Mus musculus: one gene and its partners. The main gene of each other region encodes a partner of the protein of the gene in region 2 in a complex. Links are inferred from orthologs where the notes say so. Each region holds a gene or a part of one and is shown on either strand. Other genes may lie near its edges. The genes, in order: Sf3b2, Gpkow, Snip1, Snrnp40, Plrg1, Rbmx2 and Srrm1.

Evidence for each region.
Region 1: Gpkow (region 2) and Sf3b2 share a complex: the UniProt entries of both Homo sapiens proteins name them as parts of the minor spliceosome. The link is inferred for Mus musculus from reciprocal best matches to the Homo sapiens genes GPKOW and SF3B2.
Region 3: Gpkow (region 2) and Snip1 share a complex: the UniProt entries of both Homo sapiens proteins name them as parts of the minor spliceosome. The link is inferred for Mus musculus from reciprocal best matches to the Homo sapiens genes GPKOW and SNIP1.
Region 4: Gpkow (region 2) and Snrnp40 share a complex: the UniProt entries of both Homo sapiens proteins name them as parts of the minor spliceosome. The link is inferred for Mus musculus from reciprocal best matches to the Homo sapiens genes GPKOW and SNRNP40.
Region 5: Gpkow (region 2) and Plrg1 share a complex: the UniProt entries of both Homo sapiens proteins name them as parts of the minor spliceosome. The link is inferred for Mus musculus from reciprocal best matches to the Homo sapiens genes GPKOW and PLRG1.
Region 6: Gpkow (region 2) and Rbmx2 share a complex: the UniProt entries of both Homo sapiens proteins name them as parts of the minor spliceosome. The link is inferred for Mus musculus from reciprocal best matches to the Homo sapiens genes GPKOW and RBMX2.
Region 7: Gpkow (region 2) and Srrm1 share a complex: the UniProt entries of both Homo sapiens proteins name them as parts of the minor spliceosome. The link is inferred for Mus musculus from reciprocal best matches to the Homo sapiens genes GPKOW and SRRM1.

What each region holds. Positions count from the first base shown.
Region 1 is NC_000085.6:5,273,421-5,275,938, reverse strand, and holds the end of Sf3b2 (splicing factor 3B subunit 2), read left to right. Parts: intron 1-775; coding exon 776-875; intron 876-961; coding exon 962-1,147; intron 1,148-1,411; coding exon 1,412-1,483; 3' UTR 1,484-2,018; downstream 2,019-2,518. UniProt on the Homo sapiens protein: Component of the 17S U2 SnRNP complex of the spliceosome, a large ribonucleoprotein complex that removes introns from transcribed pre-mRNAs.
Region 2 is NC_000086.7:7,700,134-7,703,633, forward strand, and holds part of Gpkow (G-patch domain and KOW motifs-containing protein), read left to right. Parts: intron 1-1,929; coding exon 1,930-2,039; intron 2,040-3,236; coding exon 3,237-3,450; intron 3,451-3,500. UniProt on the Homo sapiens protein: RNA-binding protein involved in pre-mRNA splicing. As a component of the minor spliceosome, involved in the splicing of U12-type introns in pre-mRNAs.
Region 3 is NC_000070.6:125,069,672-125,072,107, forward strand, and holds part of Snip1 (smad nuclear-interacting protein 1), read left to right. Parts: intron 1-1,435; coding exon 1,436-2,019; intron 2,020-2,436. UniProt on the Homo sapiens protein: Required for pre-mRNA splicing as component of the spliceosome. As a component of the minor spliceosome, involved in the splicing of U12-type introns in pre-mRNAs. Down-regulates NF-kappa-B signaling by competing with RELA for CREBBP/EP300 binding.
Region 4 is NC_000070.6:130,358,929-130,362,931, forward strand, and holds the start of Snrnp40 (U5 small nuclear ribonucleoprotein 40 kDa protein), read left to right. Parts: upstream 1-1,203; 5' UTR 1,204-1,277; coding exon 1,278-1,421; intron 1,422-3,699; coding exon 3,700-3,829; intron 3,830-4,003. UniProt on the Homo sapiens protein: Required for pre-mRNA splicing as component of the activated spliceosome. Component of the U5 small nuclear ribonucleoprotein (snRNP) complex and the U4/U6-U5 tri-snRNP complex, building blocks of the spliceosome.
Region 5 is NC_000069.6:83,058,538-83,062,037, forward strand, and holds part of Plrg1 (pleiotropic regulator 1), read left to right. Parts: intron 1-118; coding exon 119-261; intron 262-789; coding exon 790-843; intron 844-1,299; coding exon 1,300-1,390; intron 1,391-2,496; coding exon 2,497-2,584; intron 2,585-3,500. UniProt on the Homo sapiens protein: Involved in pre-mRNA splicing as component of the spliceosome. Component of the PRP19-CDC5L complex that forms an integral part of the spliceosome and is required for activating pre-mRNA splicing.
Region 6 is NC_000086.7:48,705,004-48,708,111, forward strand, and holds part of Rbmx2 (RNA-binding motif protein, X-linked 2), read left to right. Parts: intron 1-1,301; coding exon 1,302-1,431; intron 1,432-3,108. UniProt on the Homo sapiens protein: Involved in pre-mRNA splicing as component of the activated spliceosome. As a component of the minor spliceosome, involved in the splicing of U12-type introns in pre-mRNAs.
Region 7 is NC_000070.6:135,329,147-135,332,646, reverse strand, and holds part of Srrm1 (serine/arginine repetitive matrix protein 1), read left to right. Parts: intron 1-408; coding exon 409-489; intron 490-839; coding exon 840-926; intron 927-3,129; coding exon 3,130-3,274; intron 3,275-3,500. UniProt on the Homo sapiens protein: Part of pre- and post-splicing multiprotein mRNP complexes. As a component of the minor spliceosome, involved in the splicing of U12-type introns in pre-mRNAs. Involved in numerous pre-mRNA processing events.

The DNA of each region.
Region 1 (2,518 bases), on a different chromosome or scaffold from region 2:
TGGTGTGAAACACCTCTACTATTTGTTTTTTTGAGATCATCTTCCTATATAGATCTGCCTGTCCTGGAATTCAGTATGTAGCCCAGGCTGGTCTCTTACTCACACTCACAAATATCCGCCTGCCTTAGCCTTTGAAGTGCTGAGTACAGCACCAGACCTGACTTCGATCTTTTAGAAAAGCAATCAACGTTACTGTGTGTGCATACTTGATGTGTGTGTGTGTGTGTGTGTGTGTGTGTGCGCGTGCGCGCGCGCATGCGCATGTGGGCGTGTATGGGGGGGCGTGTGTGTGTGTGTGTGTGTGTGTGTGTGTGTGTGTGCTCGCGTGCGTGTGTGTGCGCCTGTGTGTGGAATTGGTTTTCTCTTTTCTCCTTTATGTGGGTTCCAGGGATGGGACTCAGTCAGGTTTGTACAGCAAGGATTTTTATCAGCTGTGCTATTTTGCTGGCCCTCACCTGTTCTTTTGACAGCTTCTCTGTTGGAAAGCTTTCTATGAAGCTTTAGCCTCTTTGTCCACTAATGCTTCCTTATGAGTCTTGGCTTAAAGGATCCCTTAGCTTAGTCTCTGTACCCCTTACAGATTGTGTCCTGTGGGGCCAGTACTGACCCCACTCCACACCCCTCACCCAGCGTTTCTTATGGGCCTCCTTCAGTGGCAGAACCTTCAGCCGTAGTTATCTTGGGATTCTCTTAGAATTCAAGTGTCACTTATGTTTCTTTTGACTCAGGAGACCCTTTTGCCCCTTATTGGGTTTTATTTTCTTGTCCTTTGCAGAAGTGAGACACCTCAGTTATTCACTGTATTGCCAGAGAAGAGAACAGCCACTGTTGGGGGAGCCATGATGGGATCCACCCACATTTATGACATGTCCACGGTAAGCATTGGAGAACATTGTTTTGTAACTGAGATGGAGCCCGCGTTTCTGAGAGTCTGGAGATAATAAGGTTCTGAATTTTTCAGGTTATGAGCCGGAAGGGCCCAGCCCCTGAATTGCAAGGTGTGGAAGTAGCGCTGGCGCCTGAGGAATTGGAGTTGGACCCCATGGCCATGACGCAGAAGTACGAGGAGCACGTTCGGGAGCAGCAGGCACAAGTAGAGAAGGAAGACTTCAGCGACATGGTGGCTGAGCATGCTGCTAAGCAGAAGGTGGGAGCAACCTGTGGGCCTAGGAGGAGGGCTGTCCTTTCTGGTGGAGGGAGAGGCGGGTGGACTCGGTGCCTGAAGGTCTCCGAGATGCTCCATTGGTGGCAGTCTCTTAAGTTCAGGAAGAGGAAGGAAGTCATTTAGCTCTCAGGGGGAGAGGAGAGTGTGGTTTCAGTGCTTTTTACCTTAATTTTATGTCTGGGTCAGGCTGCCTCCTGTCTGGGGTTGTCTAACCTATTGTAACTTCTCTCTCTCTCTCTCCTACAGCAAAAGAAACGGAAAGCTCAGCCCCAGGACAGCCGTGGGGGCAGCAAGAAATACAAGGAGTTCAAATTTTAGGTCCTGCTCGCATAGCTGGCCTGCCTTTAGGCTCTTTGTATGTCTGGGCTTTCTCTGTGGCTCCCTAAAGCTAGATCTGGACTCCCTAGGCTCGTCACTTCCTGTTCTTATTTTAGACTTGTTTTGTAAATAAAGCTGTTTCCCAAGGAAGGATGAATACAGGCGCTCTTGAACCTCTCTCTCTTTTAGCTTCTGCAAAAGCATCTACTTCTTGCCTGTAATCACAGATGGCCCATAGGACTATGGGACTGTAGTTCTGAACTGAACTTGTGGGTAGTTCACTATCCCTACCCCTCCTGTGTGTGAAGGCTCTGCTGAAGGTACCTTTGGGTCTGGTCTGACCTTACTGCTTTGTCCGTGGGGAATAAAAATAGCCAGCTTAGCACCGTGGCTAGGCTGGGAAGTAACTGTAGGCTAGGGAAGTAGGCCAGGTCAGGCCTTCCTCATTGACCTTGTGGCAGAAAGGCCGATTTCTTACCTATTGGAGAACATCTGTCTCTAAATAAAATCTCAATTGTTCCAGAGTACTGGCTAACTACTTGGATTTACTAGTGTGTGTGTGTGTTGGTGGGTGGGTGGGTTTGAAGGGCTTGTTTTGTCTTCGTCACTGAGTTCTGAGAAGTTTTTTGAAAAACTAGACTAGGTTGGAGCACAGGATTCCATAACATTTGCTCAAGTACTGGGGAGAAGGTGTGGGTGTAGGAGAGTGCAAGAGCTCTAGGTAGGGTGGGGGTGTGTGGGGATGGCAGCTGATCAGGCCTTGAGAGAAATAGAATTCTAGAAATTGAGAAAGCACCGAGGCACTCTGGGACTTTTGTAAAGAAGGCTGTGTCGGGGGCGCTGTACCAAGAAAGGCTGTTGGACCTAGACAACCTTAGCTCAACTGGCTCCTGCCCACAGTCAAGCTGGAACTTAAGCTCCTTAGGTGGTGGCCGGCCCCTGGATCTCTACCTACTGCTTCTTTTGCAGAAGTGGGCGAAATAACCACAGAAGGGGTCGCCACAGCGGGCTATCCGATTTCCATGCAACGCGTGA
Region 2 (3,500 bases):
CAGTCTCATGTTGTCTAAGCTGGCCTTGAATTCACTCTGTTGATAAAAATGACCTTGAACTTCATGCTTACAACTATAATCAGGCTTTGGTCTGCCCTACTTTTTTGGAAACAGGGTCTTGCTGTATTCCTGACTGTTCTGAATGTCTATGTAGATTAGGCTGGCCTCAAACTCAGAGATCTGCCTGCCTCTGCCTCCCAAGTGCTGGAACTAAAGGTGTGCAAACTACGTCCCACTTTGCCTTCCTTAAGAAAACAAAACTTTTTTTTTCTTTTTACTTTTCATGCTTTGATTGGAATTCAGGACCTTCCCTGTGCTAAAATGCCTGTTATTGAGCTATACTTTTTTTTTTGGTTTTTCGAGACAGGGTTTCTCTGTATAGCCCTGGTTGTCCTGGAATGAGCTGTGCTTCTTGCCCATACTTCATTCTATCCTGTTCTGGCCTTGACCTCATCTCTCTAATTTCCCCATCTCCAAGCCTCCATACCATCTACATCTCAGATGACCACAATTCTAGCCATCCGTCCTCTCAGCTTAAAATCCTTGGAGCCAATCCTTGACTTCCCTTTTTATTTCATATTCTACACGTAGCCTATCAGCCCAACCTCATCATCTCCACTTCAGTAGATCCAGAAGCCAATAGCTTCTTAGTCATCCACATTACTAGCATCCTGGGCAGAGGCAGCATCTGGACTAAGTTTCTCATGGGTCTTTCTTGGGGCTCCCATGTGACTCTTGGTCCCATGACGTTTCCAGTTCTCCTCATTAATTCCTTACCATCTCTGCTTCCACCTTTCCTGTTGATTTCCATGGTTCTTAACCATACATACAAAGTCTAACCTTACTGCAGGCTCTTTTTTTTGCTTGTTTTGTATTTTGAGACAGGGCTTCACTGTGTAGCTCAGGCTGGCCTTGAGCTCACAGAGATAAGCTGCTCCCACCTCCCAAGTATGCCCTTTATTTTTACAACCGAGTCTGTTTGGAGCAGTCTTCTCACATCCTCATCTGTTCTGCTATCTTTTATCATTTATCTGATTAAATGTCAGGTCGTGGCTCCCATCTCCCTTTGAATTCCCTTAGCCAGGTATTTTTTGAGTTTGGGTTTGGTTTTGAGATTGGGGGTGGGGGGAGTCCCAGCATGTTGCCCAAGCTGGTTTCAAATTCTTGGGTTTAAGCTAGATTCCTCCCTTACCTCATACATAGCAGGGCCTACTGGACAGTGCCACTTTATTTTTAAATGTGTCACCACTTGATGTATCGTGTTTTCAGAACTCGATTTGTTGTATGTCTTGACAACTAGATCATAAGGCCCAACAGACTTTTTCCATTTTATTAGTTCCTTATCCTCAGCACCTAAATAAAAGGTCCTGTAAATCTTTTGAAAGCATGTGGATATTTGTTGAAGCTGGGTATGGTGGTCCATGTATTACATCCCAGCACTTAGGAGACAGGGGCAGGCTGATCTCTGAGTTTAAAGCCTGCCTGGTCTGGTCAACAGAGAGAGTTCCAGGACAGCCAGAGCTGCATAGTGAGAGCCTGTCTCAAGCAGACAGACTGGGAAGAAGGGGCAGTAGAGCAATAGCTCAGAGTTAAGAACACTTGCTCCATACCTCCAGTTCCAGGGCATCAAATGCTCACTTCTGACCTCCACTGAAACCAAGCACAACACACATCATGGGCATACATATATGTAAGCAAACCATTCAGACACATAGCATAAAATAATCCTAAAAAACGTTTTGTTGTTACTGAAAGACTCGGGGGTGGAGGAGCAGAGTGAGGAGTGATAAGAAATGAAAACTGTCCTTCAAGCTATCTGTTCAGGGGCCAGGGCTAGAGAAAGTCAGCCCGTGAGTGGCAGGCAGCAAGTGCATGGCAGAGGGCCCATCCCAAGCAAAACCTGACTCTCTTCTCCTGCCTGACCAATAGGTGCCGGAGGAAGCCGACTATGAGGCAGTCCCTGTGGAGGCCTATGGGCTGGCCATGTTGCGGGGCATGGGATGGAAACCTGGCAAGGGCATCGGCAATACCTTCAGTCAGTGAGTTTGGTGGGGGGAATGGGGGGGACAATGGGTATAAATAAGACCCCTGTAGTTACATTTAATCTAGAACTATCTAGGTGCTGAGGGAGGACATTATCACTAGTTACCCACTACTGTTTCAAACTGTGGTTTCCACAGCGTTGTTATTCCAAAAGAACACTAAGGTCCTCTTTGTGGATCAATTTCCTCATCTGAAAAATGCAGGCGGTACTAACTTCACAGGTTTGTTGCAAGAGTAGGATTTAGTCCCTAATAAACTAGCAGAAACTAAACATTTTTTTACATTTATTTATTTAGTATATGTAAATACACTGTAGCTGTCTTCAAACACCCTAGAAGAGGGCATCAGATCTCATTACAGATGGTTGGGAGCCACCATGTGGTTGCTGGGATTTGAACTCAGGACCTTTGGAAGAGCAGTCAGTGCTCTTACCCACTGAGCCATCTCTCCAGCCCCCAAACTAAGCATCTTTTCTCTTATTTTATAGACTTATAGTCCTTTTGTTGGGCTGGTGTGTAGCTTACCTACCATGTAAAAGGTCTTCCATCTGTAGAACTGAAAGCAAAATCCCTTTGCAGTTGTAAATCCCAAAGAATTTAAGTCATTTGGTAAGCCAGATATGACTGTGATTGATAGTGAACATTCTTTACTGTTCCCCTTGCTCTGTGTACATATTATGATTTCTTCTGTAAATATATTAGTTAGTATATTTGTTTATACAAACCTAACTTGGCACTTGTAGATAGGAGTAATAAGAGTATATGGGACAAGTTAATTTAGTTACACTACATGAAATTGCTATGGGGGCACTAAAAGTGAGGCTCAATGGTAGAATGGCTTATGCATTGAAGCCCTGGATTTGACCCCTAACACCACAAAAAAAGAAAAGTTGGCATTTTTATAACTCACAGAGTCCTTATATGGTATCAGAAAGGGTAATTAAATACAGATGTGAGCTGGTGAGATGGCTGGGCAGGTAAAGGCCCTTGTCTGTAATCCTGATGAACTCAGAACTCACGTGGCTGAAAGAGAACAGCCCCTCCCACCCCCAAGCAGTCGTCTGATTTTTACATGTGTGTTGTGGTGTACAAGCATACACAAGTAAATTAACAATTAAAACAAGGATTGCTGAGGTGGGTTGGATATTGGAAGGCTTGCCTTTTGTACTCCTACAAGCCTATTTTTCTCTGCAGGGTAGTGAAGCCCCGAGTCAACTCTATAAGGCCGAAGGGCTTAGGGCTAGGTGCCAACCGGATGGAGGCTCAGGACTTGGCCTCCGTAGGCTCTCACCACCCACCAAGACCAGATGGGGATCGAGAGAATGATAAGGAAGGCCAACCTCAAGGGCTGATGCATGGAAGAGCTGTGGTTGTCCTTTCTGGCCCCTACCGGGGCCTCTATGGCAAGGTAAGAAAACATATTCCTGAAGCCATGTCAGGTAGCTGGAGTGAGTAAGC
Region 3 (2,436 bases), on a different chromosome or scaffold from region 2:
TTCTGACACATGCTACAAAATGTCTGAACCCTGATGACTTGCTTAATAAACTGGGAAAAATTTGCATGATTTCATATTTTTGTAGTTGAGACAGGGTATCTATCTCCTGCTAATTAGGCCCTGGTTGGCCTGAAACTTGCTTGGCAGCACAGGCAGGCCTAGAACGCTTAATGATTCTCCTGCCTCGGCCTTCTGAGTACTGATATTAAAGGTATACCATCAACTGAACTTCACCAGCAGTGTGTGTGTTGTGTGTCTGTCTGTCTGACTGTCTGTCCGCCCCTTTGGAGACAGGTTCTTGTTCTCATTCTCTCTCTAACCCCTAGAGATCCACCTACCTCTGACTACTGAGGCTGGGATTAGAGGTGTGCAGTCCTTCCTCTCCTGACAGGAATTGCTAATCTGAGAAGATTCCTATTTCCTTTAGCATTGGTGCTCTGGTTATTAGAACAAATGTCTTCAGGGTTGGTTAAGTGTAGGTTTCTTCTGGAAACTGCTGCCGTCATGCTTTGCCCTTGGAGCTATTGCAGTACAAGTGGTCTCTCATTGGTCTGTTGTTCTTTCCACACAGGTTTCTCTGTGTAGCCTCAGCTGCTCTGGAACTCTTTGTACACCAGGCTAGCCTCAAACTTAAGAGTTCTGCCTCTGCCTCCTGAGTGCTGGGATTAACAAACGGTGTGTGTCACTGTGCCGAGAGCTCACTGGTCTATTGACTCTGTGTATTGCTGTTTTCTGCCAGGTTGATTTTCAGTATGTGTGTCCATTTTGTCAGGAGTTTGGAAACTGCTAAGTAGTACCTTCTTGTAGGTTTCTTGAGGCGTTCACATTTCTTAGGTTTATCCATAGATGTTTGAATCATCTCTATAATTGCTGAACTGAAGCTTTTGAAATTATTTCAATTCCTTTTGGCCTATGAGGAAGTTAGCCTTTCCCTTTACATATCTTAAATGCGACTGCTTTGTTTTCTACACCTGCTGCCCTGTGAGTGCCTGCAGGTGACTGAGGTTTGTCGCCTTGTTTTGAGGGATCTGGATGTGGGCTTGAGGAAGAGTGTGGTGTATGGAGTCTAACTGGCCCTTCGGGGGAAGAACCACACTGATAGCCTTGTGTGGATAGGAATTTGTTCTGAATACCAGAATCCAGGTCACAGATGTGTTGTTGTTGTTTGAGACTGTTTTGCCTATGTGGGTGTTTTGCCTGCATGCCTGTCTGTACACCACATAGATGTAGTGCCCACATTTGCCATAAGAAGGCATTGGATCCTTTTGGAACTGTAGTTGTAGATGGCTGTGAACAGCTTTGTGGGTGCTGAGAACTAAACATGGGTCATCCGGAACAGCAGTCAGTGCTTTTAATTGCTGAGCCATCCAGCTCCTGCAGCTTGTTCACAGAGTGGATGCCATCTTTCCTTTACTGAATCCCATCTGACTTTCAGGAACGTGAGGACCATCCTCGGAGAGGACGAGAGGATCGGCAGCACCGGGAACCATCAGAACAGGAGCACAGGAGAGCTCGGAACAGTGAGCGAGACCGGCACCGGGGCCATTCCCGCCAAGGGAGGAGCTCTGATGAGAGGCCCGTCAGTGGACAGGATCGGGATAGAGACAGCCAGAACCTGCAGGCCCAGGAAGAAGAGAGGGACTTTCATAATGCCAGGCGCCGGGAGCACCGCCAGCAGAATGAAAGTGCTGGCAGTGAGGCTCAGGAGGTGATCCCTCGTCCTGCTGGGAACAGAAGCAAAGAGGTGCCCGTTAAAGAGAAACCAAGCTTTGAACTTTCTGGGGCACTTCTTGAGGACACCAATACCTTCCGGGGTGTGGTTATTAAATACAGTGAGCCCCCAGAAGCCCGGATCCCCAAAAAACGGTGGCGCCTCTACCCCTTTAAAAATGATGAGGTACTTCCAGTCATGTACATCCATCGGCAGAGTGCATACCTTCTGGGTAGACATCGACGCATCGCAGACATTCCCATCGACCATCCCTCTTGCTCAAAGCAACATGCAGTCTTCCAGTACCGGTAGGTAGACCAGAGGGAGAACTGGCAAGGGAGATGGGTGAATGTCTCACTTAGTATTCCTAAGGCTGGCTGGCTGTGTGGAAATGCTACTGAGCCCATTACCCCTTGTAGCTAATGAGCCGGACTGAAGGAGTACTGTACGTCTTAACAACCTGTGATCTTTGAACATTTGTATGAGGGGCTTGAACTTGGTGTCAGAAATCCAGATATTAGTTCTTCCACTGCATGGTGGTGCAGGCCTGTAATCCGGGCTCTCGGGAGGCTAAGCAGGATTGGTAGTATATCCTCTAAGTGTAGGTTATATACCATGACCCCACCTCTAAATAAATAAATAAATAGATGAAAGGAAGAAAAAGAAAAGATTCCTGCCATGGTCTTGACCTGTTTCCACCTGCCCCTAGGGCTTTATGAGGACCA
Region 4 (4,003 bases), on a different chromosome or scaffold from region 2:
GTCCTCTTTTGCACCACATTCTGGAGGAGAGAGAAAACTATCGCTGGCTTCCTATTAATTTTAAAGTAAAAGCTTCAACTTCCTGCAAATCTTCATGACTTCCAGGTTCATCCCATACCATATTCACTTTAAGCTAGCGCTCTCGCTCTCGCTCTCTCTCTCCCCCCACACCGGCTCTTTGTGTCTCCCTCATCTTTCCGACTGATAGAACCTGCTGTTCTGTGCAGAACGTTCTCCCTTCCTCTCTTCCCCTAATTAGAACCGTCCCATCAGATAGGAACCGCTCAGATGTCTTTTCCTTTAAAAAGCCTTCAAGTTTATATTAGTAACTCACAGCAAGAGGCATCGCTTGTTTAGGTAGTCTTCCGATCAAATGGTTTTTGTTTAACATCAAATTTGTTTAACACGTTTCCCACACTCTGGGGTAGAGGACCATATTTCTTCAGAATGACCCCCAAACGCACTGCACAATAAATATCATTTGGACCACTTTCGAGAAGACCTGGCACGCAAGCATGATTGTTCGATTTCTCAACTAAACTGTGCTTCGGAAGAACCATCTGATACTTTCCTCATCACTGGCTGTCTCGGGGACATAAATTAAAGCCCTTTTAAAAAGACGGCTAAATCAGTGACAACTAAGTCCGCCGCCTCAGCCAAGTCCGGCACTGAAGCCTGGAGGCCAGGACTCGGGCCAGCACAGAGCTAGACGCAGAATTGGCATCCTGCAGAGCAGCTGTCAAGGGATAGCCGTCTGAGGGTTCGAGTCCTGGAGCCAGAGATGCCAAAGCTCCGCTCCAGCCTACCAAGGGACTTCTCTTTCCGGCGACACCTCCTGCCACCCCATGCTGCTAAGGCTGATAGCTGAAAAGGGCAGGCTCAGGCCTATCACCACCTCGCACCTTCCAGATTGGAACAGCCACCCGCCTGATTCCCCACACACTCACTCCGCGTCCGCGCCTAGCAGGACAGCCGCTTCATAGCTAGGAACGCCAAACCTGCTCCGCTCGTTCTCACCCACGATGCACTGCGCGCCCGAGGGGGCGGGGGAGAACGCCAGCTCCGCGACCCAATCCCAGAGTCGCCTTCTCGTGACGTCATCAGAATGGGACCAATCACAAGAGTGTATTCAGAGGGCTTTCCAGAAGGAAATGTTAGAAGCCAATTGGTTGCTCCTCTCCGGAAGTTCTGGAGGAAGAACTCAGTTGGAACCAATTGCGCGGCGCCTCCGGTCGGCGGCGCGGTTAGTGGCGGCGCCGAGGAGAGTGGCTGCCGCCATGATCGAGCAGCAGAAGCGTAAGGGCCCGGAGCTACCCCTGGTTCCCGTCAAGCGGCCGCGACATGAGTTGCTGTTGGGAGCGGCAGGAGCCGGCCCCGGAGCGGGGCCGCAGCAGGCGACTCCAGGGGCATTGCTGCAGGCGGTAAGTGGGGAGTCATCCCGCCTTTGGCCCTCCGCCCCTCTTCCTACGGATGATGTCGCCTCTGAGGGAACGGAAAGACAGTGAGCCTGAAGTTAAAATAGGCTTCTGTGAAGGTGCCTGGTGTTCTCTGTGTGGTTCATACGTGTTTCCCTAGTAGACGCCTGTTTTCAGCCCTTCAGTGGCATTGAATCATTTAAAACCTTGGCCTCAAAATCAAGACCCAAGCTTCCGCATCCTAAATCTTCAGGGGTTTAGCATAAAAGAAACATTCAGGAAAGTTTGCAGAGTGGACGAATGAATGAGAGGGGAGGCAATGGAAATGAATGATAGCTCGCTTTACTACCTGGTAGAACTTTTTTCTTTCTCTGCATTTATAATTGTAATTAACACTCGTTGGATGTTATCTTGGATGTTTTGCGTGTGAAATTTCCATTAACCATGGTACCTGACTGAAAGAAGCTGTTACTTTGCAAATGGGGAAGGCAAACTTTTTTGTATCCAGAAGATCCATGGCTCCAAGCCAGTGTAGGCTATTTATTATGGCAAAGTCCTGTTGAAAGAGAGAAGAGAAGAGATCTGTGTAACTATGATCTTTTTTTTTACCTTCTTGTTAAAACTGTTTTTATGTCATCTGACATCACTGCAGGTAGAGCTTAATTTAGTATTCCTGGTTTTTGTCTTTGAACCAAGGATTGGTTATTAATCCAGTAGCCAGGGGAATCATGGAAATATTAAGTCACATGGTATACTCTGCTGAAAACATTATGTTGGCTTTCTATTGTGCGTTTTTTTAAAAATCAAATTCTCTGTAATAATCCCCTCCTTACCTTGTTCATCTACCAGTTTTCTGGCATGTCACTTGGCTCAAGACACCGACTTATAATGTTCTTTCTTTCCTTGGTGCTTTTGCTGGAATGTTCTTTTAAATGCCCACATGGTCAGCTGTTTGCTCTTTCAAATCTTTGCTCAGACACCAGGTTTTCAGAGGGGCTTTCCTGACCACTGTGTTTCAAGTTGGAGTGTCCTGTAATCTGGAACCCATACTGTTTCTTCCCATGGCACTCAGCACTGGGTGGCTCTGTGTGCCTTTCTCTCACTTTCCACTAGAATGCAAGGTCTACTGTTTTACTGAGTGCTGTTTTAGGCGTGTGTGTGTGAGTGTGTGTGTGTGTGTGAGTGTGAGTGTGTGTGTGTGTGTTTCATATGTGGGGAGGGGGAACTCAGTGGCCAGAAAAGAATGTTGGATCCTCTGACCCTAAAGTTACAGCCCTTGAAAGCTGCCCATTGTGGATGCTGGGAACTGGACTTGGGTCCTTTAGAAGAGCAGTAAGTGCTCTTAACCACTGAGCCATCTCTTTAGCCAACATGTGACACTTTTTGAATAAAAATGTTGGATGAGTATGATCTTGGTACATTATTTGCATTTATGGATATATCAAAATGAAACCCATTGCTTATAGATAGTACATGATAATAAAAATAAGTAAGTCTGCCGGAATCTGCTAAAGAGATTTCAGGATTATTGGTAGTACACTTGTTCTTATTTAATGAGTAAGATTGCCTAGGTTTATTCTCCAAGATCATAATCAAATCTACTTTGCTAAGCCTGGCACAGTGATACACACTTGTTCTTAGGAGGACTGAAAATTTTAAGACCTTCCTGGGCTACATATTAAGACCCTGCTCATTCCCCCAAAATCTATTTTGCGTAATAAGCTGTACCATACAAGGTTTTTCAAAGGCTAGCTGGGTGAACTTGAGACAGGAAAATGGTGACTAAAATGAAGAATGTACCTGTACTCCCAGAGCTTCATCTCTTTGGGGAAAAAGAAAGGCAAGAAAGGGAAATTCAGGTAGTGATGGGGCTTTGACCGCCTGCCCTGGAGCTAGTGGAATACTGGTGTGGGGAGGTACCTCACTCAAAGTAGGTTAGTTTGAGTGATGAAAGACAGACTCTGAGGAGGAAATATTTAAAAGATACAAAATAAGGAAGGTCTCTTGTGAAAGACATCTTTCTATGTTAAGATTCTGAAGCATAAGTGGATTCAACATGATCAAGCAGTCAGAAGTCGTCTGTGGAACAGAGACAGCCTTAGGGAGAAAAAAGCGCATTGGGCATATGCTGGACTGTCCAAGGGATTGTCAGAGAGTTCTGTGAGCAGGGGTACTATCGCTGACCCAGGTGAGATCTGTGCTATCCCTGACCCAGATGAGATGCGCTGCCCCAGCTTTCCTTTGCCTGTGGACAATGGCTGCCTCACACTTGTCTTTGGTTTAGGGACCGCCCAGGTGTTCTTCCCTTCAAGCTCCAATCATGCTGCTCTCGGGACATGAGGGGGAAGTGTACTGCTGCAAGTTTCACCCCAATGGATCCACCCTGGCTTCTGCAGGATTTGACCGGCTAATACGTAAGGCACAATTTTGAACTGGAGTTACATACAGCTCTCTGCTAATAATGATCTCTTTAATTTTGAGTGCCATAGAAATCCTCAGACATCAGTCTAAATTGCCAAGTTAAACTATAGTCATGCTAAAGCAGGGCATGTGTAAAATAAAAGGAAGGAAATGTACTAATTGGAAAG
Region 5 (3,500 bases), on a different chromosome or scaffold from region 2:
ATCTGTGACATGGAGTACCGTGTCTGCTTCTGTGCTTCTCTGGTTAGCTGACTCTTTTCACTGGTGAGTGTGTTTCCAGTACTTACGGGTGCATTTCATCTTTATGATCTTTACATAGTCACAAGCGGAAAATGGCAATCAAGCTTCGCAATGAGTATGGTCCTGTGCTGCATATGCCTACTTCAAAAGAGAACCTTAAGGAGAAGGGACCTCAGAACGCAACAGACTCATATCCTCATAAGCAGTATCCCGCCAACCAAGGTGAAAACCATCGGGTTTACAAGTGAATTTTTAAAATAGGAGAAAATGTCTCCTTAGAGCTTCCCTGGGGGCACTGCTTAGTTGTTGCTGTGATGGTGGCCGTTTTGATGAGCTCGTCAGAGTAGTAATGAAGATGCTTAGGTGAGGACTTTTTCTAGAAAACAGAATGTATGATTATGATTCTCTTAGGAGGTAGGCAAGATTACAGTGGTGTCTACAGGGAAAACTCAAGTTGATTCCTAGCCTGTGGGGAGACCATCTGTGAGTTCTTTATCTTGAAAAGATGAAATTATAGTTACAAAGACTCTGCTATTCCATGTGAAACTATTTACTGTGAAGAACAGCTGGAACAGGTCAGTGGGAGGGGCGCCTTGACTTATTAGCAGCTTACAGGCAGAACCATCAACTCCCTGCCTTTCTGAGGCTTCTGTAGAGTTGGAAAGGAAAACTTAATATTTATAATACCTTTGAAAAGGCAGTACTTGGATAAAGGCAAACTCACTGGCAATGAATTTATTATTTTTTTAGGACAAGATGTTGAGTATTTGGTGACAGGCACCCATCCATACCCAGCAGGACCCGGTAAGTAACAGTAAGGCCGCACAGATGTGTGGGCACTGTGTCTACACAGACATAGTGTCTGTTGGCTCGGACAGTTGTCAGGTACCTAAATTGAAATAGATGAGGATGTATGGCTGAGATGTACTTGAATGCATGGGTATAGACAGGCTGGCATGAGGGAAGCAAATATGCTTGGACAGAGGACAATAAGCCTTATGTTTGCAGTTCACATGGGCATTGTGTACTTCTTTTAGTCACTTAATTTACTCTTGGAAGTAGTCTGTTAATATTTGCATGACTACTATTTGCTTATGAGTATACTGTCTGAATCAATAGGAAATTAACTTTATTGTCTTGCGTTCTCTTAATACCAAGCTGCTTGTGTTCAGTCAAATTTGATCTGTGTATTAGCCTGTATTTATTATAAGGAATTAAAACCCAAGTCAAGCTGAGTGTAACGAAGGTTGTTGTGAACAGGTGTTGCCTTGACTGCTGATACTAAGATCCAGAGAATGCCAAGTGAGTCAGCTGCACAGTCCCTCGCTGTGGCGTTACCGTCCCAGACCAGGTATGACTGACGCTCTACTTACATAGATTCTCAGTGTTTGCAGGCTTTGGGTTTTGTTTCTTGTTAACACGTAAAATGTGGAATCCAGATGCTATCTTTTCTTTTTCTTTTTTTTTTTTTTTTCATTTTTCGAGACAGGGTTTCTCTGTGTAGCCCTGGCTGTCCTGGAACTCACTCTGTAGACCAGGCTGGCCTCGAACTCAGAAATCCGCCTGCCTCTGCCTCCTAAGTGCTGGGATTAAAGGCCTGTGCCGCCACGCCCGGCTCCAGATGCAATCTATCCACCTTGAAAAAACAAAACAAAACTGTGTGTTTGTGTGTGTGCACTCTCGTGCACCTCACAGCCCTCATGTGTAAATAAACAGACAGCTTTTGAGAATTGGTTCTCGTTCTGTTGTAGGTTCAGTGATTGAACTCATAGCACATACCTGTGATGGTTTGTATATGCTTGGGCCATGGAGTGGCACTATTAGGTGTGACCTTGTTGGAGTAGGTATGTCACTGTGGCTGTGGGCTTAAGACCCTCATCCTAGCTGCCTGGAAGGGAGTATTCTGCTAGTAGCCTTCAGATGAAGATGTAGAAATCTCAGGTCCTCCTGCACCATGCCTGCCTGGAGCTGCCATGTTCTTGCCATGATGATAATGGTCTGAACCTCTGAACCTGTAAGGCAGCCCCAATTAAATGTCCTTATAAGAGCTGCCTTGGTCATGGTGTTAATTCACAGCAGTAAAAGCCTAACTAAGACAATACCTTTGCCCACACTGTACCATTTCAGCATTGCCACCTTTTTCTATCTAGGATCTCTCACTGGCCTGGAACTCAGCAAGTAGGCTGGGCTAGCGGGCCTTGGGCACGGGCCTGAATTGTCTCCAGTACTAGGATCACCAGCATGTGTCACCATGCCCACCATGCCCTTTTCCTTTTTTTCTTTTTTCTTTCTTTCTTTCAAACAAAGGTTCTGGGAATTGAACTTCTCATGCTGGAACAGCAAGCACTTTATCAACTGAGCTGTCTCCCACTGTCTCCCAGAATCCTAAAAGAAAGTTTGGAGAATACATAACTAGGGATGTGCTGAGTGATTATTCTTGATCTATCTATTCTGCAGAGTTGATGCAAATCGTACTGGGCCTGCTGGAAGTGAGTACCGACACCCAGGGGCTTCTGACCGTTCCCAGCCCACAGCAATGAATTCTGTAAGTCTCCTGACTCTCGGAACATGATTGCTCTTTTATCCTAAAAGTCTTACATAGATACTGAAATCAGTACTATCTTGAGCTCTGTTTAATACAAATAGCAGCCAGGGTTAGTCCTTAGCATTTCATAGCCCTAAACACATGGTTTTGGTAAGTTGCTTTTCTTTTTTTTTTTAAAGAATCCCACGATACACATAGTCGGTTTGTAAATGGCTAATACTGTGATCATGATAGTTGCTCCTCACTCTTAGAAGAACAAGCATTGGGGCCGGGAGCTAGTTGATTCAGTTAAGAGCACATGTTGTGTAAATACAAGGACCAGAGGGCAATACCAGCACCACAGGAAAGCTGTGTGTGGCTGTGGGTAACACCAGCATTTGGGGCGGGCCAATCAAAGTAGGGGTGGCAGAGGGGCTCTGGCGCTCAGTGGCCAGCCAGCTTAGCCAGAAAATGAAATCCTTAGCTTCAGGTTCAGTGAGAGTCCCGTTTTCAAAGTGTCAGTAGAGTGGGGATAGAACAGAAAACCTGTCATTTTCTGGCCTTCACATGCACACACCTGTACCTGCATTTACCACATGAATGCGCTTGCACACACAGAATAATTTCAAGGAAACCATCTTTATAGTGCTAAGGTATTTTTCATCTTGGGCAGGCCCTGCCCCTAGGTTCTTATATTGCTTTTATTTCTGCCAGTGAATCAGTTTATTTCTTGAAGTTACTTTTCCTTACTACAGTTACTGGGAAAAAGCTGCACTGGTAATAGGATCCAACGCACGCACGCACGCACACATGCACTGAACTGTGGGTGGGTGTGGGTTTGCATTATTTCGCACATGTACTGATGTTGTGAGTTGGTGTATGGTTGCAGTTGAGTGCTACAGGTTTGGTGACATTGATGCGCTGTGCAGCCCCTTGG
Region 6 (3,108 bases), about 41 Mb from region 2:
CTTAGGTCGCCTCCCCAGCCGGGCGGGCACCTGTCCTCTGGTCTGGAAGGTGGCCGGCTGTCCCCGGCCCACACAGGGTGCTGCCTCAGCGCCTCTGTGCTTCTGCCTGTTCCAGAAGCTGTCAGGTTCTCTGGCGCACCCTCTCACCTGTTCAGACTAATTTCCTAAGTTCGGCGGGTCCCGGACCAAGATGGCGACCGCTGCTGCTGTGGCTTAGGCCGCCTCCCCAGCCGGGTGGGCACCTGTCCTCTGGTCCGGAAGGTGGCCGGCTGTCCCCGGCCCACACAGGGTGCTGCCTCAGCGCCTCTGTGCTTCCGCCTGTTCCAGAAGCTGTCAGGTTCTCTGGCGCACCCTCTCACCTGTTCAGACTAATTTCCTAAGTTCGGCGGGTCCCGGACCAAGATGGCGACCGCTGCTGCTGTGGCTTAGGTCGCCTCCCCAGCCGGGCGGGCACCTGTCCTCTGGTCCGGAAGGTGGCCGGCTGTCCCCGGCCCACACAGGGTGCTGCCTCAGCGCCTCTGTGCTTCTGCCTGTTCCAGAAGCTGTCAGGTTCTCTGGCGCACCCTCTCACCTGTTCAGACTAATTTCCTAAGTTCGGCGGGTCCCGGACCAAGATGGCGACCGCTGCTGCTCGACTTTCTATTTTGTATTCAATTAATTTCTGCTTTGGTCTTTATTAAAGCCTGTTTTAAGTTTGTTTTATTTTATTTTCATTCTTTTTAAGGAATCAAATTCTTTAAGGTTACAATTTTCCCTAAGTATAGCTGGCTTAGCTACATCCTACAAATTTTCATGTATTTTATTCTTTTTTTTTTAATTTCTAAGTGGTATACCATAGACATTTTAATTTATTTTTCATTTTAGTTCATCCAACTATTAGCTAAGAGAATAGGTTTCAAGTTCTAGTTAGTAGCAAGTTTTTTAAAAATTATTTTTTAAAAAAATTATGGATGTTTTGCTTACATGTATGTCTGCACCATGTGAGAGATAGAAGAGGGCACTGGATTCCTTGGAACTGGAGTTACTGATGGCTGTGAGCCTCTAAGTGTGCGCTTGGAATTGAACCTGGGTCCTCTGGAAGAGTAACCAGTGATCTTCACTATTGAGTCATCTCTCTAGTTCCAGTAGCAGGATTTTGTTTAAACTATTATTTCTAGTTTTATCACACTGATTTTTGAGTATATGTTGTAGGTATTAGAATTTATTTTTAACAACTTTAACTCTTTACTTTCAACCTACTGTGTCATTTACAGTATTCTTATTATGTGAATTTTAAATGAATAAAACTTTTTATAAAATAGATATGGGGAGATTGTCAACATTAATCTTGTGAGAGACAAGAAGACTGGGAAATCCAAAGGATTCTGTTTCCTGTGCTATGAAGACCAGAGGAGCACAGTTCTGGCTGTTGACAATTTCAATGGAATTAAGGTAAATGTGCTTACTGTGTGCTCTTTGGCTGACCTTTTCCTGTGGATGGGTGAGGCTTCGCTTTTTTTGCCTCTGTTTACAGCTGCACGAATAGTACTGGTCATCTGGGTGTACCGTGGGGGTTGTGGAAGTGAGTAGACACACTTGGATAGGGAAGGATTCCAGGAAACCATTTTCTGGCTCATGCACCTTCCAGGAATTGTAACTTTCCCCTGTTTGTTAGCAAACTTGTTCTAGAAACGTGGGTCTGCGCCCCCTTATCTGGCAGATGTTTTTATGCACATTTTCCATCTGTTCTAGTACATTAGAGAATGAAGAGCCTAGGGACACTGCTCTTGGATATTGTGCTGTGTCAGGGAACTGGGAGCTTCATCATGGCTTGATGAGCTACGAGCCATGTGTATCTAGTCAATGACTTTTGTGACTTAACATATTGGCTCCTGGAAATTCTCTAGTTAAAATCTGATGACCAAGTCTATAAAAGTAAGCCATTCTGAAATTTTAAGGGAGTGGCATTCACAAGAAATCACCATCAGAGGAAAATTGCTTTTTCAAAAAGTGTATCAAAATGAGAAATAGAATGGATGACAGAAGCTTTTGAGGCTTTTAAGTAAAAGCCTCAAAGTAGAAGTAAAAATGTACCCTTGTAGTGGAACAGTGAAATTAATCTTTAGGTCTTAGATGATGTTGCCCACATAGTAAGTGTATGTGCTTGAAAACAGACTATATACAGGGTAAAGGATTCATTTTATTCTTGTTCTCTTGGAAACCTCTAGCTTATAGCCCAGTAATCCTTGGGAACTAGAAGTTCCTATATGGTAGGAGTAGGGCTAGGGATGGAGCTCAGAGACGAGAGTGCCTCTCTGTCATAGTCAACCAGTACCCCAGAGCTGTGGCTCTAGCTGCATATGTAGCAGAGGATGGCCTAGTCGGCCATCAATGGGAGGAGAGGCCCTTGGTCCTGGGAAGGTTCTATGTCCCAGTACAGGGGAATGCCAGGGCCAGGAAGCTGGAGAGGGTAGGTAGGGGAGCAGGGCAGGGGAGTGTATAGGGGACTTTTGGGATAGCATTTGAAATGTAAATGAAGAAAATATCTAATAAAAATAGAAAAAAAAGACCGTAAGTTCAATACCACCGCCACCTCTACTGCCACTGCCATCACAATCAAAGGCAACAACAAAAGAAGTTTGTTCCCTTGGTCTCATTTTGCCTCCTGATTACTTTGTTGAAAAAGCAGCCATAGCACTAAATTTCATGTTTCTAGTCCTCATGTTTTCCTAGGGCATGCTGTTTTCTTGTTAAATGTATATAACTTTGTATATATGAACACACATTCATGAGTGTGATGCCTTAGGTCAGGCGTCATTCCTTAGAATCTGTCTACCTTCTACCTCCCCCCCCCAAACTTTATATTTTTTGTTTTTGCAAGACAGGGTTTCTCTGTGTGGCCCTTGCTGTTCTGGAACTAGCTCTGTAGACCAAGCTGGCCTCAAACTCAAGGAAATTTACCTGTCTCTGGGATTAACCACCACTGCCAGGTTCTTCCTCTTCTTCTTCCTCTTCTTTCTTTCTTTCTTTCTTTCTTTCTTTCTTTCTTTCTTTCTTTCTTTCTTTCTTTCTTCCTTCCTTCCTTCCTTCCTTCCTTCCTTCCTCTCTCTCTCTCTCTCTCTCTCTCTC
Region 7 (3,500 bases), on a different chromosome or scaffold from region 2:
TCTGCCCCTGCGCCCCTGCGCCTCTGGCCTCTGCCTCTAAGAGCTAGGATTAAAGGCGTGTGCCACCACTGCCCAGCTGGTGCAGGGTTCTTGCTAGCCCTGTAGAACTAGTTTTTGAAGCTTTCCATGTTTAAATTTTAGGTTAATTTTTTCATGTGAGGAGTCTAACCCATTCTTGTGCTATTAAAACATTGTTCTGCTGGGCAGTGATGGCGCATGCCTTTAATCCCAGCACTTAGGAGGCAGAGGCAGGCAGATTTCTGAGTTCGAGGCCAGCCTGGTCTACAAAGTGAGTTGCAGGACAGCCAGGGCTATACAGAGAAACCCTGTCTGGAAAACAAAACAAACAAAACAAAACAAAAAAATTGTTCTTTTTATTGTGTGAGGTTTATTTTTCTTCTTTTTTAGTGACAAAACATAAAGGTACTGAGAAAAGAGAGTCACCTTCTCCAGCACCCAAGCCTAGAAAAGTGGAGCTGTCTGAGTCTGGTAAGTTGTAATGATTTTCTAGAGGTTGGTTTTCTGTTTTTCCTTCCGTGTGTGATTATTCCCTGGGGTTGGGGATTGATTGTCCAGGGCACCCAGTAGGGAAGAGCTGAAGGTGACGTCACACAGACTTTCTGCAATTCCCAGCTGTGGCATTTAAGTGTGCGCTGTTTGGTTATTCGTCCAGGACCTCATTCTTTTTCTTCTGTATTTGGACAAAATTTTGGGTTTGGACAGCTGGCTGGGATGTTTATAGCATTCCTATCTTATGGACTGGGCTGATGCCTTGTGTTGTGTGTCACATTACCTGTGTGTAACTAAAGAAACACTGTCTAAATGCACCCATCTTTCAGAAGAAGACAAAGGCAGCAAAATGGCTGCAGCTGATTCTGTGCAGCAGAGAAGACAATACCGACGGCAGAACCAGCAGTCTTCATCTGGTATGGACAACAAGCGAATGAGCGCCTTCCACTCTCACACCTGTGGTAACCCAGCACTGGGAGGCTAAGGCAGGAGAATTCCTGTAGAGTGTGAGGCCAGTAAGGGCTGCATAGTGAGAGTCCCCAGAAGAGCAAAGCGGAAGAAGCCTGAGATCCTGTGGTTCAGAAGGTGGAGGCAGGAGGGGGAAAGCTCTGTTGTTCTTGGCTACATTGTACATTTGAGACCAGCCTGGACTAATGAGACCCTGGGGCTCTCCCCCCACTCCACCCCGCCCCCATTTTGCAATGTTATGCCTGTTTGTATTTCACTTGCATGCATGTCTGCACCATGTTTACATCTGGTCCCCAAGGAGACCAGAAGACAGGGTATCAGATCCAGTGAGAATCTGGAATTAGAGACGTTGTGAGCCATCATGTGGGTGCTGGAAATTGAACCGTTTGCCTTCATGGGTTGTGTTTGGGCCATAGGTCTCAGTTGGGCACTGGGTATTTCTTTCTTGTTTTAAGCCCTTAAATTTTGCTTTTAAATTGCTGTATTGTTAGGAAGGTAATAAATCTGGCTAGGAACATGGCTCTGGTAGAGTACAGCGTACTGCGTGCACAGCTCTGGGCTCTATTCCCAACATTATTAAATATAACATAATTGGACCCAAGCGTTGGTGGTACAAACCTTTGATTCTAACACTTGGGAGACAGAGGCAGGCAGGTCTCTTGAATTTGAGCCCAGCCTGGTCTACAGAGTGAGTTCCATGACAGCCAGGGCTACACAGAGAAACCCTGTCTCAAAAAAAAAACAAACAAAACAAAAGGTAGTTGGCGTAGAGTACAATAGTAAAACAGAAAATGAAATTGGAAAGACTAATTTATTCCCTAATATTTGAGTCTACTCCTAAGCCTTTCTGCAACTTTGTTCTATATAATTAGGAGTCTCTGGTTTAGATGATCATACTAGTTTTTTATGAATCTACTTCATTTATTACTAGTAGCTATTTGGTTGTGTTTTGTTTTTGTTTGGCCTCACTATGTAGTTGGGCTAGCCTGGAACTCACTGTAGTTCTGATTGTTTGATTAAAAAGAAAGAGCACAGAAGCCTAATGTTTAAGCCAGGGGCTCTGTTCTTGTGTTACTTACTTGGGTTTTGTGTGGCTTTAGTTTGGTTTTGGGTTTTAAGAAAATGTCCCATGTAGTCCAGGCTTGCCCTGAACTTGCTTTGTAGCCAAAAATGACCTTATACTTGTAGTCTTTTTGACTCCACCTAAGTGTTGAGAGTTGAGCTTTGCACCACTGGACTCAGTTTATGCAGTACTGGGGTTTGATTCCCAGGGTCTCCCATGTGCTGAGGCAAGCTCTCTACTCACAGCCACACCCTCATCGCTCAGGTTATAGTTGTAATTATTTTCTGGTTCAAGTGGCATATTGATACTTTTTTGTTGCTTTCTTGCTGCTGATGTGCAACACATGCTGGGTTGGGCTTTTCCAGTGAATTTGACCGTCAGCCCTGAGGTTCTTTTGAAGCCTTACCTTATTAATTGGGAAAGAATTCACTAGAGTTTTGTTGCGAGGCTCATGTTGGACTTCATATTCTCCGTCCTTCACCTCCCTGTCATCAGATGTGCACATACACCAATGAGCCTGATTTTACATCCCTGGATTTTTTTCCTAAGAGATCCGTGCAGGCCTTAGTACTTTTGAGATATACTAGTCTTATATTTGCTAGTTTTCTGCTAGGTGTGGACTGTTGACTGTCACTAAAATTGTACTGATTAGATTGTCCTGATGGGGGCTGGAGAGATGGCTCAGAGGTTAAGAGAGAGCACTGACTGTTGCTCTTCTAGAGGTCCTGAGTTCAAATCCCAGCAACCACATGGTGGCTCCGAACCATCTGTACTGGGATCTAATACCCTCTTCTAGTGTGTCTGAGACAGCTACAGTGTACTCATATAAATAATAAATAAAAAGTGTAGGTTGTCCTGATGGTACTGAGAATTGAACCCATGGCTTCATGCCATCCATACTAAGTAAACGTGGAGTCATTGAGTCTTAACCTCTAAGAAACGTTTTTCCCAGTGCTGGGTGTAGAACCCAGGACCTTGAGCATGCAGTGTAAGGGCCCAAGGGGTACTACAGGGGGCAGTGAGTGAGTGTGTGTGTGAGTGTGTGAGTGTGTGATATTTTGTTGTTGTTCTTTGCTCTGTGATTACAGACTCTGGCTCCTCTTCCACCTCAGAAGATGAGCGGCCCAAGAGATCCCATGTAAAGAACGGTGAGGTAGGCAGGCGGCGGAGACATTCCCCTTCTCGGAGTGCCTCTCCATCACCTCGAAAGCGCCAGAAAGAGACTTCCCCTCGGTAACAGCCTTCGTTAATAGTTCTGACTGTCTGTGGTTGGGCTGGAACTGTAGTGTATAGCTTGGCCCTCGAAATTACTTTACAATTGGGCACATTCTTCGTGTCAAAGCTGGTTGGGTTTGGGCTTTTAACCGGTTAGTTTGTTTTTTCTTGCTGTTGATAGTTAACATTAAAACTAGACACGTTTTCAGTGACTGCCTCATTTATGCATGAATAGAGCAGTTAA